Caenorhabditis elegans: one gene and its partner. The protein of the gene in region 1 interacts with the protein of each later gene in a biochemical or structural test. Each region holds a gene or a part of one and is shown on either strand. Other genes may lie near its edges.

The links. Proteins that work in one complex are often made in the same cells at the same time.
Region 2: the proteins of eor-1 (region 1) and eor-2 form a complex in vitro, tested with the Caenorhabditis elegans proteins (one study listed by BioGRID).

Annotation. Positions count from the first base shown.
Region 1 is NC_003282.8:4,793,171-4,800,981, reverse strand, and holds eor-1 (Zinc finger protein), read left to right. Parts: upstream 1-1,794; 5' UTR 1,795-1,805; coding exon 1,806-1,887; intron 1,888-1,948; coding exon 1,949-2,229; intron 2,230-2,284; coding exon 2,285-2,398; intron 2,399-2,456; coding exon 2,457-2,599; intron 2,600-2,644; coding exon 2,645-2,818; intron 2,819-2,873; coding exon 2,874-3,131; intron 3,132-3,179; coding exon 3,180-3,253; intron 3,254-3,355; coding exon 3,356-3,540; intron 3,541-4,314; coding exon 4,315-4,513; intron 4,514-4,569; exon of another isoform or gene 4,570-4,718; intron 4,719-4,969; coding exon 4,970-5,153; intron 5,154-5,362; coding exon 5,363-5,463; intron 5,464-6,114; coding exon 6,115-6,323; intron 6,324-6,373; coding exon 6,374-6,556; intron 6,557-6,985; coding exon 6,986-7,275; intron 7,276-7,337; coding exon 7,338-7,590; 3' UTR 7,591-7,788; downstream 7,789-7,811. Other genes in the region: dpf-7 (Dipeptidyl Peptidase Four (IV) family), read left to right, coding at 1-239, 444-582, 630-746, 1,033-1,383.
Region 2 is NC_003284.9:14,601,343-14,609,076, forward strand, and holds eor-2 (EOR-2), read left to right. Parts: upstream 1-1,722; 5' UTR 1,723-1,749; coding exon 1,750-1,819; intron 1,820-1,906; coding exon 1,907-2,037; intron 2,038-2,251; coding exon 2,252-2,422; intron 2,423-2,514; coding exon 2,515-2,613; intron 2,614-2,668; coding exon of another isoform or gene 2,669-2,674; coding exon 2,675-3,097; intron 3,098-3,246; coding exon 3,247-3,406; intron 3,407-3,526; coding exon 3,527-3,571; intron 3,572-4,295; coding exon 4,296-4,384; intron 4,385-4,429; coding exon 4,430-4,736; intron 4,737-4,789; coding exon 4,790-5,084; intron 5,085-5,286; coding exon 5,287-5,416; intron 5,417-5,467; coding exon 5,468-5,611; intron 5,612-5,660; coding exon 5,661-5,829; intron 5,830-5,882; coding exon 5,883-6,020; intron 6,021-6,509; coding exon 6,510-6,676; intron 6,677-6,845; coding exon 6,846-7,079; intron 7,080-7,136; coding exon 7,137-7,283; 3' UTR 7,284-7,312; downstream 7,313-7,734.

The DNA of each region.
Region 1 (7,811 bases):
TCTCGTCTTTGGCATTCTCAATTGGGCTCACAAAGTGATGGTAAATTCACGGCATCGCTGTTATGCACACACAAGCCAGAAAACGATACGATTCACAATTTTCACATTTATCCAATGAGTTTTCAAAAAATTGGCAATTCTGCGATACTCTACATGTTGCCGGAATGTGTTTCTCCCGGATCGAAGTTCCCGCTGGTCGTGGTCCCCTTTTCCGGATTAGAACCTAATTTCACCGTTAGGTAGATTTTTTTTCTTTAGACTCAAAATTTATTGAAAAATCAACAAAAAAAGCATCGAAAGAATTGCAAAATTCACGGATCGAGCTTTCAATTTCAACCGCAATTTTCTATCTTTATTTTTTTAATTTAAAAATGTTCAAATAGCAATTTTCCCTGTTTATAAAGAATTGATTTATAAATTTAAAATTAAATTTAAATTTTCAGTACCGTTGACCCTGTGCTCTCTACAATGGTAACTTGTGGCTTCTGTGTGCTAGTTGTAAACTATCGGGAGCCATTTATAGCAATTCCAGGAACCTGCTTTCCAAAGAATTGTGGTTCGGAATGTATTAATGATGTTCATGTAGAGAATCGTTCGTTTTTTTCCTCATTTTATGATTTTTTTTACAGGAAACTGTACTAGAAGTTCTCGAGAGACACGGAGCGCGGTTAGATGAAAAATATATTTACTTGTATGGATTTGAATTTGGATCTTTTGTGGCGTGTAGTCTGATTATCAAACATAAGGTGGGATATTACATCGACGCGAGATTCTGCGATTTTTGGTGAAAAATACAATACCCGGTTTCGACACGACATGTTTTCTTCAGAAATATTTTGAAAGTTTTATTGATAGATCCGTCAGTTTTGCGACATTATAGTTAAAAAAAAACAAAGTCTCTGATTTCGGTACTCCACCTTTAACTTTCAAAAAATGTCGTGTCGTTACCCCGATATTTTTCTATTTTTGGCACGAAAATCACAAAATTTAGCGTCTCATGGATTTTCATATTTTTTAATTCACTATTTTCAGAAATTCTATAAAGGATGTGCACTCGTACGGCCGATGCTCGAATTTCCATTCACAACGTGTGCAGTTGATACAGAAAACCCTGAAGCTGAATTTCTGAAAGACGTGGAGCCGGTCTCACATGCGTCTGAAATTGTTACTCCGATGTTGATTGTTCTGGAGAATAAAAGCGATACAAAGTACAAAGATTTTGAGTCTACAATTCACAATAATGGCGTTCCGTGTTTTGGAGAATACGAAGAAGAAGACGAACAAGTGAATGATTTCGTTGTGAAAGTCATTCAATTTTATAGAACACCATATGGAGAATACGAGAATGGTTCTAGAATTGAAACGCCGGTTCCTGATGATTAATTATTTATTTTTTCTTTCTTGAATTATTACTAACTTATATTGTTAATTCATTAAAAAAACGCCGATTAGAACAATGTCTACATCAGCTTTAATTCGTTGTTAAAATATGTTACAAATTGGAATTTCGCTCAGTTTTAAATTTTTTATGTGTCGTTATGCTCAGATATATATTTTCTTTTTTTGAAATCTCGAATAAAATTTGAATTTCGTTAAATATATAACTATCGTTAAAAATCCATTGAAATAATATTTGCAAATCGATAATCTTTTAGATTGTTCAGTAGAGCGCGTCTGCACACTCCTCACCCGATTTGAATCGGAGCATTTATTCTAAGTTTATTGACGTCTTCCTCGATAAAATGTGAGTTTCCCATCGAATAAATTATAAAATCGCAATGAAAATTATTTCAATTTAATTTCAGATGACATTAGTAGCTAGTTCCGAAAACACAGGGCTCTGTCCAATGACATTTGATGATAGTTCTGGGCAAACCAGTCATATGTGTAAGAGTTTTGTATTTAATTCAATCTTGGCTTGATAATTAAATTAACTTTTATTTTTCAGTGTTCCAACGATTACAATATCAACGAAAAACCGGCCGATTTTGTGATGTGGAAATTGTTGTTCAAAACAAATCATTTGCGGCTCATCGAAACATTTTAGCAGCTCACAGTCCATATTTTGACGCAATTTTCAAATATTGCAAAATCACAAAGGAACAGCTCACAATAAATAGCAAATCTCCACAAGTTTTCGAGTTATTCCTCAATTATATGTACAGTGGAACAGTGATTATCGATCGATCAAGTGTTTCGGAGCTATTGAGATTTGCAAATAATTTTCTGGTAATATTATTGATTTTTCGATCGACTATTCCTGCTATAATTCCGTTTTTTTCAGATAGTGAAGCTAAAAGTGTATTGTGCAGCTTATTTGGATCGATATCTAGACGCGGCCAATTGCTTATCAATACGAACGTTAGCTCAGAGATATAATCTACCAGGACTTGTGAAAGTAAGAATTTGAATTTTTAAAGCTTTAAAAGCGAGAAACTTCGAATTTCTTTTTTCAGTCTGCTACAGACTACTTTGACAGCAATCTTAATCGATGTTTACTGGAATCCAGAGATATAATTGGTTACACGTATACACAACTGACAAGACTCATTGGAGATCCGAAATACGTGGATTGTATTACTTCTGACACTTATTTAAAGTGAGTTTTTTCGTTCCAAAATGACTAAAACAGTAATTTTTTCAGATTAATAGTCCGCTGGGTCGGTGAAGAAGTATCGAAGCGAGAGGAAATCTTCCGATTACTACTAGAATCCTGCGAATTTCGAGAAGTTTCAGCTGACACACTGGAATTTCTTCTGGATTACTCGCCGTTGCTATCGAAAAGTCAGAAAAGTCGATTTTTGCTACTACATGTCATGTAAGTGGAGTTGTTAAAGTTTACAAAATTATTACTGATGAAATAATTTTTGTAGGGAAACAAATAACATGCTTATGGAAAAGTACTCGACTCAACTGAGCAGTCTTCGTCAGAAAATCGTTGATCTTCCGATTCTCCACGATCCATCTCAATTTGAAGATGATATTTATGATTCAAGTGATTCTGAAGAGGATCCAGATGATTATATAGCTGATGGACATCCAACATCTGCACAAGTTGTTGAATACGGAAATGATGTTAATAATCGACTGAAAATGAAGATTGCATTCCAGCCGGGAAATGAGAAGAAGCGGTTAGTGATTATATGAAAAAATTGATAAAATTCAATGGAAAATTTTAGATTAAAACGACCAAAAGGAATGAAAAAACATCATTTGCACCCAATTCCACCGATTAATGCGACGGAAAATGAAAGTGAGCTGGTTTTTTTTCTCAAAAAAAAAGGGATTTTGTGAAATTGTAAAATCAAAAATTGAAGAAATCTTCTGTCAAATTCCTTATCAATAAAATTTCCAGGTATTCCATGGATCGACGAAGACGAAATTGATGGTGTATATGCTACATGTTCATTGGAAGGATGTCATACCTATGGACCAGTTGACAATTTGGATCCAGATGATTGTGAAGATGAAGAAGATCAACCTGATGAGAATGGACCGTCCACTTGTATTTTCTGTGGACTGCGGACTGCAAATGAGGAGGTATTGACAAAAAATAAATCAATTAAAACCTTGAAAAAATGCGAAAAAAATATTATTTTTCTCAAATTTAAACCGTCAATATGATTTATTCTATTTTTAGACGTCAAAAAGGTCTCGACACACCGAACAATGGGCTACAGTAACCTGTTGTCGGTGTGGTGAGACCTGACCAGATTTTGGCGAAAATTTCATATTTTGGCGTTTATTTAATATACAAAACTCGACACGACGATTTTTGGCTACATCAAGAAAATTTACGCCTTTAAAGATTACTGTATTTTCAATCTGAGGAGTTTTTATCGATTATTTTTAGTTTTTCGATAAAATATATTTATTTATCAACCAAATATTCCGAAATTTAAATAGTTTTTAAAAAGCTTAAATTTTAGAAAAAAAAACTATGAAAAATCAACAAAAACACCGTACAGTAATCTTTAAAGGCGCATAATTGTTTTCGGTTCTAACGAAAATTTGTCGTGTCGAGACCAGGCTCGAAAATTGCAAATTTTTGTGTCTATATAATATATATCTTTAAAAATATTTTTTTAAAGAATTACAGCACAATTTGGAAACTTTCATGCATAATTTATTTTTTTAAAAATATTTTGATGTAAAGTTCCATATTTTGGGAAAATGTAAAAACAAACTCGTGTACGAACGATCTTCTGCTGGTTTTATGAGTTTTATGTTCCAAAAAACCAAAAAAAAAAAAAAACCAGAAAAGTGTTGTAAAATATTTCGATCGATTCTTCAACAATTTCCTCATATTTTCAGCTTCTCGAAAAGCACAAAGCTCGTCATCACAATCGCAATACGTATTATATGTGTCATTTATGTGAATTTGAAACCAATTGGAGCAAACAATTCTATCTTCATTGTGCTGAGCACTGGACAGAGATACCGTATCGATGTGAAACGTGTCCGTTCACTTCAAATGAGATACAAGAGTTTTTGACCCATAGGCTTCAGCATAGTGAGTTTTTACAAAAATTTTGGAAAAAAACGTACATTTTTTAATTTTGAAAAAAAAACTCTTTTTTTTTGAAACTACAAAAAAATTAAATGTATTTTCAGATAAATCGTTTCTTTTTCTGAAATTCACAATGTTTCTTGAAATATAAACCTATTTTCATTTAAAAAACCAAATTATGAAAATTAATTTTTGTAAAAAAATTGATCGATAATGTTTTTTTCATATTTTCAGAATTTACCAACAATATCAATTTAAATTTTTAATTAATCTCCAAAAAATCGAATGAATAGCTAAGCTTTCAATTTTCTGTTTTTTTTTTAAATTTACCATCAGACACACGTTGACTTTGCCGAAGGAAACACATTAAAACCGAAAAAAAACGGCTGAATAAAATTGTTTTCCAAAATTACTTTCTAAAAGAAACAAAAAAACCCTCTAAAATTGTCAAATTTTCAGCCGACGAGCGTTTCTTCAAATGCGGTGAATGTGCATGGAAAGGTCGAACTCGTTCTCAACTGTTTGCTCACGAACGAATGCATTCTGTACTCGATGATCGATCATTACACTGTGAAGAGTGTGGAAGAGGATTCCAACAGCATAGTACATTGGATCATCATGTTGCTAGTCATAATGATCCTAGGTAAGTTTTTACTATGAAATTTCGAGATCTGAAAGTTAATAATGTGCGAATTTGAAATAAAAAACCATGCAAGATCTGATTTTGAGGCAATTCCAATTTTGCTAGTAACGTTTGGAGGCAATAATAATAATTGTCTCAAAACCAAACAAGGCGACTTTTATTCAAATTCAGAATTTTCACAATTTCCATCAAATTCTTCCAAATTTCAGGCCTTATATCTGTGAGGATTGCGGTTTCGCCACCAAAACCGCCGATCATCTTTCCCTTCATCGTCGTCAACATACTGGAGACAATTTTAGCTGTCACATTGGTCAGTTTGTATTTCCTGTAACACCACGCATTGGAATACACTGAATGCCAGAATAGTTCCGTTATCACCTGCCAACCGATCCATCATTTGGATGACTTTTGCGCAGTTCACTTCTACTTTTTTCCAACCAAAAACCCCCCTCGCTGCGTCTCCTTATCACCCGTACTATTCCATTAATTTTCGTTTCTCCTTGGCGACACAGCGCCGCCTTTTCCGCACAAAAAATGGTCGAAAAAACGAAAGAAAACGGCGGCTGAAGATAGAAACAGTGGTTAGATCATCTGTGGATCATATCACTTTCACTTTTTTTTTCTGCCGAACACACACTGGGGTACTGTAGGTATTTGGTAATGGTTTTATCGTCGCGCTCGACATAAAATCATTTCGACGTGTTTCATTAGTTTTTGCGCTTTTGCAGAGAACTTTTCTCAGAGCTTCTTCTTCTCCAATGCAGGGCCTTTCCCAGCTCGCTTCACGCTGTGCGTAATTTTTTCGAGTTTTTAAACATGGAGTATTGTTTAAACAGCTATGGAGTTGATCTGAGCAATTTTTTGTTATTTTTCCTATAAAATGACATATTTAAAGATCCTGAAAACTACACTATAAAATGACATATTTAAAGATCCTGAAAACATTACTGTTAATTTTCAGCCGGTTGCGACTACTCGTCGACCAAAAAAAGCCAACTGGCGGCCCATCTCCGTACCCACATGGCGGTTCGCGCCCATCTCTGCAAGATCTGTGGCCGTGGATTCATCGAAAAATCACATCTGGTCCGTCACGAGAGGATTCATTTGGAGGAGAAGCCGTTCAAGTGTGATCAGTGTGAATATGCATCTAGTCGGCGTGATAAGCTTAAGGTTTTTGAGCATTTTAGATGATAATTTTTGATAATTTTCATAATTTTTAGGAGCACATCATCAAGCATCACAATTCGGAAGTGCTCACATTCCAAAAGACTCAACGAAGAAAGTATAAGAGACAGAGAATGTTGGCTGCCGCGAGCAATATTGTGAATAATCCGGATGCTCTGTTCCGTCCAATTACTTCTGATGATGCTGTTAGCAATTGGCAGGCTACTAATGACTTTTCGGTAGGTTTATTGAATTAACGAAGAGCCAAGCGACAGAATTTCTGAAATTTCGCCAATTTTTCCTTGTCGAAGCAGCTGAAATATAGTTTCTTTCAAACTATAACCCGTTATTGCATATATTTTCGGTACTAGATCTTGCTTAAATTCGCCGATTTAGGCACTATTAAAGTCAATAAGCATCCAATTTTGGTCATATTATGCCAATATTGATGATTTTTGGATGCCTATCGACTTTAAAAGTGCCTAAATCGGCGAATTTCAGCAAGATCTAGTACCGAAAATATGCAATAACGGGTTATAGTTTAATAGAAACTATATTTCAGCTGCTTCGACAAGGAAAAATTGATGGTTTTTGGGATTTTTGAAAAATCGGCCGTTTGGGGTTATACAAACTTAGAATCTAGAAATTTCTCATTTATCAATTTCCAGACGTACTCTCCGAATCCCAACGATTACGGTGGACCATCAACTTACGGCAACCCTTCATCTCCTCAGCGTGCCTTCTCAGTCGTTCATCCATCTCAACATCAACATCATGCCCAATCACCTGGCTGTATGTCTATGATGAATGTTCCATTACGGGACAATCATCATCAGATGCAGCGACAGGATTCACCGGGAGATTCTGTTGGAGGTGGTCAAGGAGGTGGTGGTGGTGGTGGACCTGAAGGATCAGACAATACACATGGAGTTTTGATGACACCTAACTTGGTGATGAGGTTTGTTACCTGTAAATTTTGCAAAAAGCAGTGCCGCATTAATTCTAAACATTATTTTCCAGATCTCCACATAACCGGAGTGCTGTCCAACCGCAATTCAACAATCTCTCCACAAACTCTGATCCACAACAACAGCAGCAACAACAGCAACTCCGTCCATTCTCACTTCCAACCTACGGACAAATGGATTTGGCTCAGGCGGCTCAACTCCAGCAACTTCAACAACAACTACAAGCAGCCGGGCTTCCACCGACTGGAACCCCGAATAATCAAGATAATTCCAATAATGCATGGAATCCGTGGAATGTACAATAATAAATATAGTCCTGAAACTGCCTAAAACCTCACTTTTGAAAAAACCCCTTTACTATCTTTGCCTTTTCTTGTAACATGTTTCAAATTGTTCTTAATGCCTTCATTTTGATATGTGTATGATCTCCTTGTTTAATGCCTAATTAGTCCTAAATGGTTTTTATGGTTATAAATAAATTTATGAAATTATAGATGACATTTTTAACTGAAACATTGTTTTATTT
Region 2 (7,734 bases), on another chromosome or scaffold:
GGAAAACATATGTATAAGACTTCTCACTTTAGCCGGTTTAAAAACTACAAATAAAGGTTTTTAGCATTAACGTTTTAAAGCAATTCTCAAAATAATACTGATCTGGAAAATTAATGCAATGGTCTTGTCTTTTTCAATTTCAGGTATTGACTTATTGTTTAACCTTTAAACTTGTAATAAAACAATTTTTACATTTTATTGAAGCACATCAAATCCAAAATTTTATTTATACTGAATGAAAAATGTTTCAACTAGATTTTGTCGAGTTCTGACAGCATAGTTTCGTAGACAAATCAAGAATTTTTAATTTTGCAATAACGTAACATCAAAACAAAATCGTAATTTATTTATTACCAAAACAAAGACGAATTAACTGAATGAATGAAACATGAAAAAGACCTGTATATAACACGTTGCAGATTTCAAACTATGCTGTTTTTTAATCAAAAATACAAATTGTCTTTGTAAAGTGTATCTCCACTAAACGTCTAACCACTGGCAGCAAAAAAATACCTATTTTGAAAATATGGCTATTTTTGTTTCCTCCGTATTGAATTTTTTTTTGAAATTCGAATTTTCCGAGTAGCAAAAAAGTGCCGTACATGAAAAAATATAATTTTTTTTGTTCTTTCAAGTCGATGTACCACCGTCTTTGCAACTACACTATTCACTCCAAAAAAAATCCAAGAAATTTTTTTTTTGCTACCACCATTAAAACGTGTGGAAATTATTTTAGACTGGTTAATTGCGAGTAGCAAAAAAGTGTCCTACCAGAAAAAATAGCAAATTTTCTGTTCTTTCAGGTCGATGTACCACCGTCTTTGTAACTGCGCTATTCATTTCAAAAAACACAAGAAATTTTTTTCAGAATGTTGAACTGGATGCAATAAAAATTTTAAATAATCCACTCTTCGAAATTCCGAAAACAGAACAAGACTTCACTGTGGTGATTTTCATTAAAATCAATATGTGGTAATTTTGTATACTCTCTCTATTTTCTGTTACGGATAAAATAAAAATTGACAACGGAATTTCTGAATTTGAAACATGCATTCAAAAAAAAAAACGATTCCTGTTGGTAACACATATGCACAGCACACTTAAAATGAAACAAACCTGATAAGACATTTTTTAAACTTTTAGGTTCAGTATTTTTGTATTATCTATTTGAAAAGTTACTATTCATTCATTTTTCTTTTTTCCTTAAAATTCTTGTTGCGGATGGAAAAACTAAACCTGAAAATAAATCAAGTGAATACATTAAGCTTTTTCTACTTTTTCCTTACAATGTAATAATTGAAAAGATGCATTTATGAGTTATCGTGATGTCTATTTTTGATTAGTCTCCTGTATTAAAAATCGCGGAAAGCATCAATATGGCCTACGTTTTAAACATCCTCGTCCGTACAGCCACTATCTCTTCCATTACCCTTCATATAATTACACCCGCGTGCCTATTCGCCCTTACACAGTCACTCAGTCCGTCCGTCCAGTCGACTTGTCCTCTTTCTCTGCACTCTCCGATCCTTAACCACTACTCACATGTAAACACACGCGACCGACTGCGATGTGTTCTTTTGCGCCGACCTCCTCTCGCGGACGAAAAATCAATAGGATGGCGGTCATTCGAATTGTGTAACGAAAGCGTTTTTTTTTGCTGCTTTCCGCGTTTTACTAGATTTATTTATAGGTTTGGTTTCCGTATTAATAGCCAATTTGTAGATTATCTAACTGCACTAATGAAATTCGATGGATCAACGTAATCAAAAATCTTTGCTGCCCGACTTTTCGGCAAATGGGTTTTCCGGGCAGTTTAATGGTAAGCAATAAGAAATTAAAAAAAAAAACTTAAAATTTAAAATTTAAAACTTATTGTTAAACTTATTTTATATGCATTTTTATTCAGGAATTCCTCATGGAAATACCAACGCAATTATGTCAACAATTCAGTCGTTGCAAATGCACAGCATGGGCAATCAGTTGTTGCCTCATGGCGATCTCCAAACCGATCTCCAAAATCAGTTTCTTATTGAGCAAGTGAGTTGGAAAATTCTAGCAAAAATATATTCGAGTGACAAAAATGTTAAACTACTCATTTTTGAAAATAAGATAGGATTATAAATCTGACGTGAGCTGTGTATATCATTTTGACTATCTTTGTCGCATACTTTGCACTTGAATTATTATTTTATTTACATAACTTTATTAAAAGCTAGTCGAAACTAAATTTGTATACTTCTTGTTGTTTCAGTTCCAACTAAGAGCAATGCAATCGATGTACAACACTTTTAACAACGGAAACCAGAAGCAACCTCAAGCAAGTCTTACAATGTCGCAGTTCAACTCAATGACTGGGAATGAGCCATCTACCTCAAGCAACGTGTTCTCCGCATCCATTCCAACTACTTCAGGAACACAAATTGTAAGTTGGTTTGTTTCAACCGCTTTTTCTCTTTCTCAAAAAAATTTAATTAAAAAGTAAATTCCGTTCATTTATTCAATGTATAATTTCAGAACGCATCTCAACCTATGATTCCCACCACATCAATGCATAATCTCGCTGTTCAGAGCTCTATGATGCTCGAAAACAAACTAGGACAAAATTTAAATCTAGTAAGTGGCATTGGTTTGGATAATAAATTAATTATATTTAACATGTGTGATAAAGTTTCAGAAAACTACCCAACTCGCACAAACGACCATACCTCAGGCACAAGCTGCTGTTGAAGATTGGATGAAAAACATTTGTGTGGATTCTTTACTCGACCCGAAACAAGCAAAGACACCATCAACAACACCATCTGCACAAGTTTCAGCTGGAACCACATTCAATAGTACTCCAGCAGTATCTTGTGCCACCCCACTGACGGCAACTGTAAGCCTGGCGACTAAACCTTCGGAACCATCTGCTGCTTCGTCTATGCCGACGTCTTCGGAATCGGTGGACGCGACGAAAGGGGACGCGATCGACTTTGATGATGAAGCGCATGATGATGTAGACAATATTTTTGGATTATCACTTTCGGAAAGTGACGTGAGGTCCGGCTCGATGTATCGACGGCCCGATTCGGCGGATCGTGTTCATAGTCCTATTGATGTAAGTGGGAAAGGATGAGTCTGGAAAAAAGAAAATTACAGTTTTCACAAAATTCGTTCAAAACTAAAATGATTGAATGAGTTTCTTTACCTACTATCTTTACAAAAAAAAATTCCAATCAATTTCCATTTTTAGTCAGTCTTTTCTAGTTTACGCCACCCGACTCTCCCCAAGCTGAACTGACATTTGACGAAATATTTGGAATATCAGCACCATCGACATCTGCAAAAGCCGCCACCAAAGAAAAGCCAGTACCGAAACCAAGGAGTGAAATGGTATTTCATGATGTTCCATCCACAAGTAAAGACGGTAAGAGTATATTTTTTAGTAAAACTAATGGGTATTTCGCTTTGAGAAAAATACACTTGTTTGGAATAATGATATACCACAGAAGGAAATTTTTTTCACCGACAATCTTCCCCATTTTAGATATCGCTACAGGGACGCGCGGCAATAAGGAATTTCCGGCAATAGGTAATTTCGGAAATTTCCGCCAACCGGCAATTCCGGCAATTGCCAGTTTCCAAAATTTTCGGCAATTTCGGCAATTGGCGAAATTACCGAAATTGCCAGTTTTCAAAATTTCCGGCAATTCCGGCAATTGGCGAAATTGCCAAAATTGTCTAAATTGCCGGACACGTTCTGCGATTTTCAAACCTAAATATATTTTAATAAAATTGAAAACATTCCACCCCTTTTTGTTAGTATTCGGTTAGTCTTTTTTTTAAAGAAAATGGTCAATCCTTAAAGGAATAAATCATTTTGAGCTTGAAAATAGAAAATTAATGATTAAAATGCATGTTTAGGCTCCTAAATCCTCAAAAAGTATCAAGTTTATTTATATATTTCCGGCAATCGGCAATTCCGGCAATTGCTGGATTTCAAAATTTCCGACAATCGGCAATTTTGGCATATGCCGGTTTATGAATTTTCGACATTCTGAAACTTCGGCAATTGTTGCGCACCCATGTCTCGCTATGTTTTCCTTAACCAGACCTCAATTTTTATGGAATAAATTTTTTTGTAGATGTCTGCAAACCACGTTAAAAAATGTTTATCAAAATGAAATTCATCGTTTTTATTTTTGAATAAACATTCTTCAGACTCAATAATCTCTTTTTAATATCATTTTTAAGTAACTTGTCTTTAGAATTAGTTTTACCAACTCCAAATCACATTAATCAAAACTAAATTACAGCTACTCCACAAAGAGTCCCGAAACCTGCTCCAACCGCTGCATCAAAAGAAGAGGATGACTTTGTCAACAACTTCGTTAAACCACAAAATGTAATCCACATTTACAAAATGTTTTTAAAAATTCAAATGTTTCAGGTTCCTGTGTACAAACAAAAAGCTGCCCTCATGTCCCTTGAAGCAAGAGAAAACGCTCGGAAAGAAGATCCAAACTATGATGCTTTTGAGTTTGAGGATGACGATGATTTCGTGTTTGGTGGGCCTTCGGCAGATTTGAGGCGTGAGCCTGAGCTTACGAAGAAGATTGAACAGAAGGCGAAAAGTGTATACATAACTGGAGTAGGGTTTTCAATTCGAAATGATAAAGAAAAGGAGTATAGTAGTAAGAAATATTATTCCAAACCATCAGCAACTCATCAGCCGAATTTCAATGACACAATTAATGGTAATATTTAACTTTACAATACCATATATTTATATCAAAATTACCTATTTCAGAGAAAGCATTTTTCACGACAGCTGATGAAATTCGTGCTCAAAAAGATCAGCAACTGGTTTGCGCATTCTTAAAACCCGAACAAGTTACCAGCACAGAATGCGTGAGGAATATGAGAAAAGTGACACGAGAAGAGCCAATGCTTCCGAAATTTATAATAAGGGTTGAGCAAGTGCAAAACCAGCATGAAGAACCAATGACTAGAAGGCGATATAAAAGAAAGAAGAACAAAAGTGATAATGACGACTCGGATTTTGAAGATGTGGCGTATAGGAAGAGGAAAACGGCAAAGAAAGTGTAAGTGGAATTTGATTGGGAATGGGAGTCTAGTTATTCTTCATGGCAAATAAAAAAATAAAGTAGGGCTTCCATGCAGGCGCCAAAACGCCTACCGGGAGCGGAACCCAAAAAGTGTCGGGCGCGGCGATAGAACCAAATTTTCAATATGTAGTTTTGAAGAAACTACGACTGTTTCAATTTATGAAAGTCCTATTTTCAGTTACACAATGCACAAAGAAAATGATCCCACTTTTCGACGAACTGTCTTGGACTTTTCAATTGGTCCATGCGTCTCTGATGAAGAAAAGAAGCGCGTCAGCATGTTTGGCCCGGCTGAAGGAATTTTACCCGTGAGCTTGAATTGATCGTTCTGTTTTAATTCCCAATTTGTGTATTATCAGAAAGGAACATATGTAATATGCAAAGCTGACATGCTGAAAGAAGATTGCGCTGTATGGAGAGTTGACAATCAGAATTTACTTCAGAAGTTTCCTCCGTTTAGAGATAGCAAAGCTAATCGACTAGTCTATCGCAGTAGTAGTACGGTAAGATTTGATTTTTGAGAAAGCGCAGCTTATATTTCACAGTTTTCAGTATTCGGGATGGTGCGAACAAATCTCATCACAATACTTCCGGGTCGCTGTGAAAATTATCAAACAGACACGTTCCGAGACAACAGTGGAGCCCGAAGTCCCCCTTGCCGAACTGTTTCCGGCGTCCTCTGTGGAATGGTTCAAGAATCCTGGGACTGTGTTTTTTGAAGGTATTTTGATAATTTTTTTTTGTTTCACCTTCTTTTATAAATAAATGTTGCAGAAGAGACGAAGGTTGAGCCAATAGACGATGATTCAATTTTAACGGAGCCAAGACGAGTCTCCCTAAACACTCTTGTCAACGCGTACCTAACACAGGTGTTTACAAAAACCCACGTGGAAAGCCTCATAGATGATAAAGGTAAGGTGGTTACAGAAGGACTTCTGACACGCTAAGCTTATTTCATTTTGAATGCCCAAAATTCAAATGGAAAATAAAGAACCATATGTTTTCAAAACAATTGTTAAAATTCCTTTAGGTCAATTTACAGAGCGGCGGCTCACTGATGCACATAGTGTTTATAGCATAGAATTGTTTTTTTTTTCTGTTAAAAAATTTGAACGATATCTCAAATAAGGTCTACAGGTTACTGTTCGCCGAAATGATTTTGCGCACAGCTCTGCGGTAGTTTTTGAAAAATTTGTAACAAAATACATGAAGCCTTATCAAGATCAATATGTTTTGAATTTGTTCATGCAAATTATAGCAAACTTTTCAAAATGTGCAAACTTAGAAAACTTCTTGAAATGTAATAAAACGTAGATCACGGCTCCCGTGTAACATAATATCACAAAAGAAAAATCAAAAAATAAAATGTTTGAATTCGATTAAAACTCGCCACTTTTTCAGATTGGACCTATTCTCGTTCAATAGCAGAACTCGAAACCAACAACAAACAATGCGAAGGGCTGATCAAAAAACGCATACCTGTCGAGCCGAAACACAATCGATGGATTGCGAAATACACTAGATTGGCCATATCAAAATCATCATTTCACTGCTTTACAAAGTGTCAGGTACAGTAAATATAATAAGATAGGGAAAGGAAGAACATCTAGTTGATTGTTCATTGTTTGCTACAGAATATGCAGAATATTGGAAATAGTGGTTAGTTGACATAAATTATATGATTTAGAAACTGATCATCAAAACGAATGAAGTCTATACAACTGTGTGTTTTTGCAGATTTGCAAACGGAAAAAGCCGCGGAGAGTGATTCACTTTTTCGACAAAACATCTTGCAATGAAAAACTGCTTGTGGAGAATCTATCAAGCGATATCCATGATGAAAATGAAGACGATGAAGAATATCCAATTGTATCTGATGCGATATCGTGTGGTCGGTGTTCAATGGCAGTTGACTTTCTTCACCGCATGCATCATATTAAATTCCATATGCTTAGGATATGTGAGGATAAGGTAATTAATTTAAATTTTAAAACAGTGTTATGAAGCTAATTCGGTTCTTTTTTACAGCTAGAAGAAATTGGTACATCTGATATCGACTTGACATCCGATAAGATTGTGGAGAAAGCGAAAGCCGACAAAGTCTGGACGCTTGGTGTCATTCAAAAATATTGCGATTTATGGGATCAAGTCCGTTACGAGTTTCGCGATGTGTAATACTGTAATAAACAATTTGAACAACTTTTATAACACATTTTGATTTTCGATTTCTGATTTTTCGACTGATATCCCTGAAAAATAATAGCGAAGAAGAAGAATGTAGTGTTTCTGCGACGGCTGATCACATGGAAACAAATGCTGCGCACTTATTTCTTGAACTTTCCGATTGCCTGTGCTTTTCTTTTCTCATAATTAGTTTTTCAACACAACTTTTGTAAAAAATTTTGTAAGAATTTTTCTGCGTAACATAATTCAATTATATTTTTATTTTTATTTATACGATATTGGCCAAATTTAAAAAAAACAATCCAATGTTTTCGAAAACTGGGCACTTTATCAGAACGTGTTCTGAAATTTTTTTTTTCAAAACTTAAAAAAGGACTATTGTAAGTGTATCAAGACAAAACCCCCACTGAAACAACTTCTTTAAAATAGGCCCATACCAAAA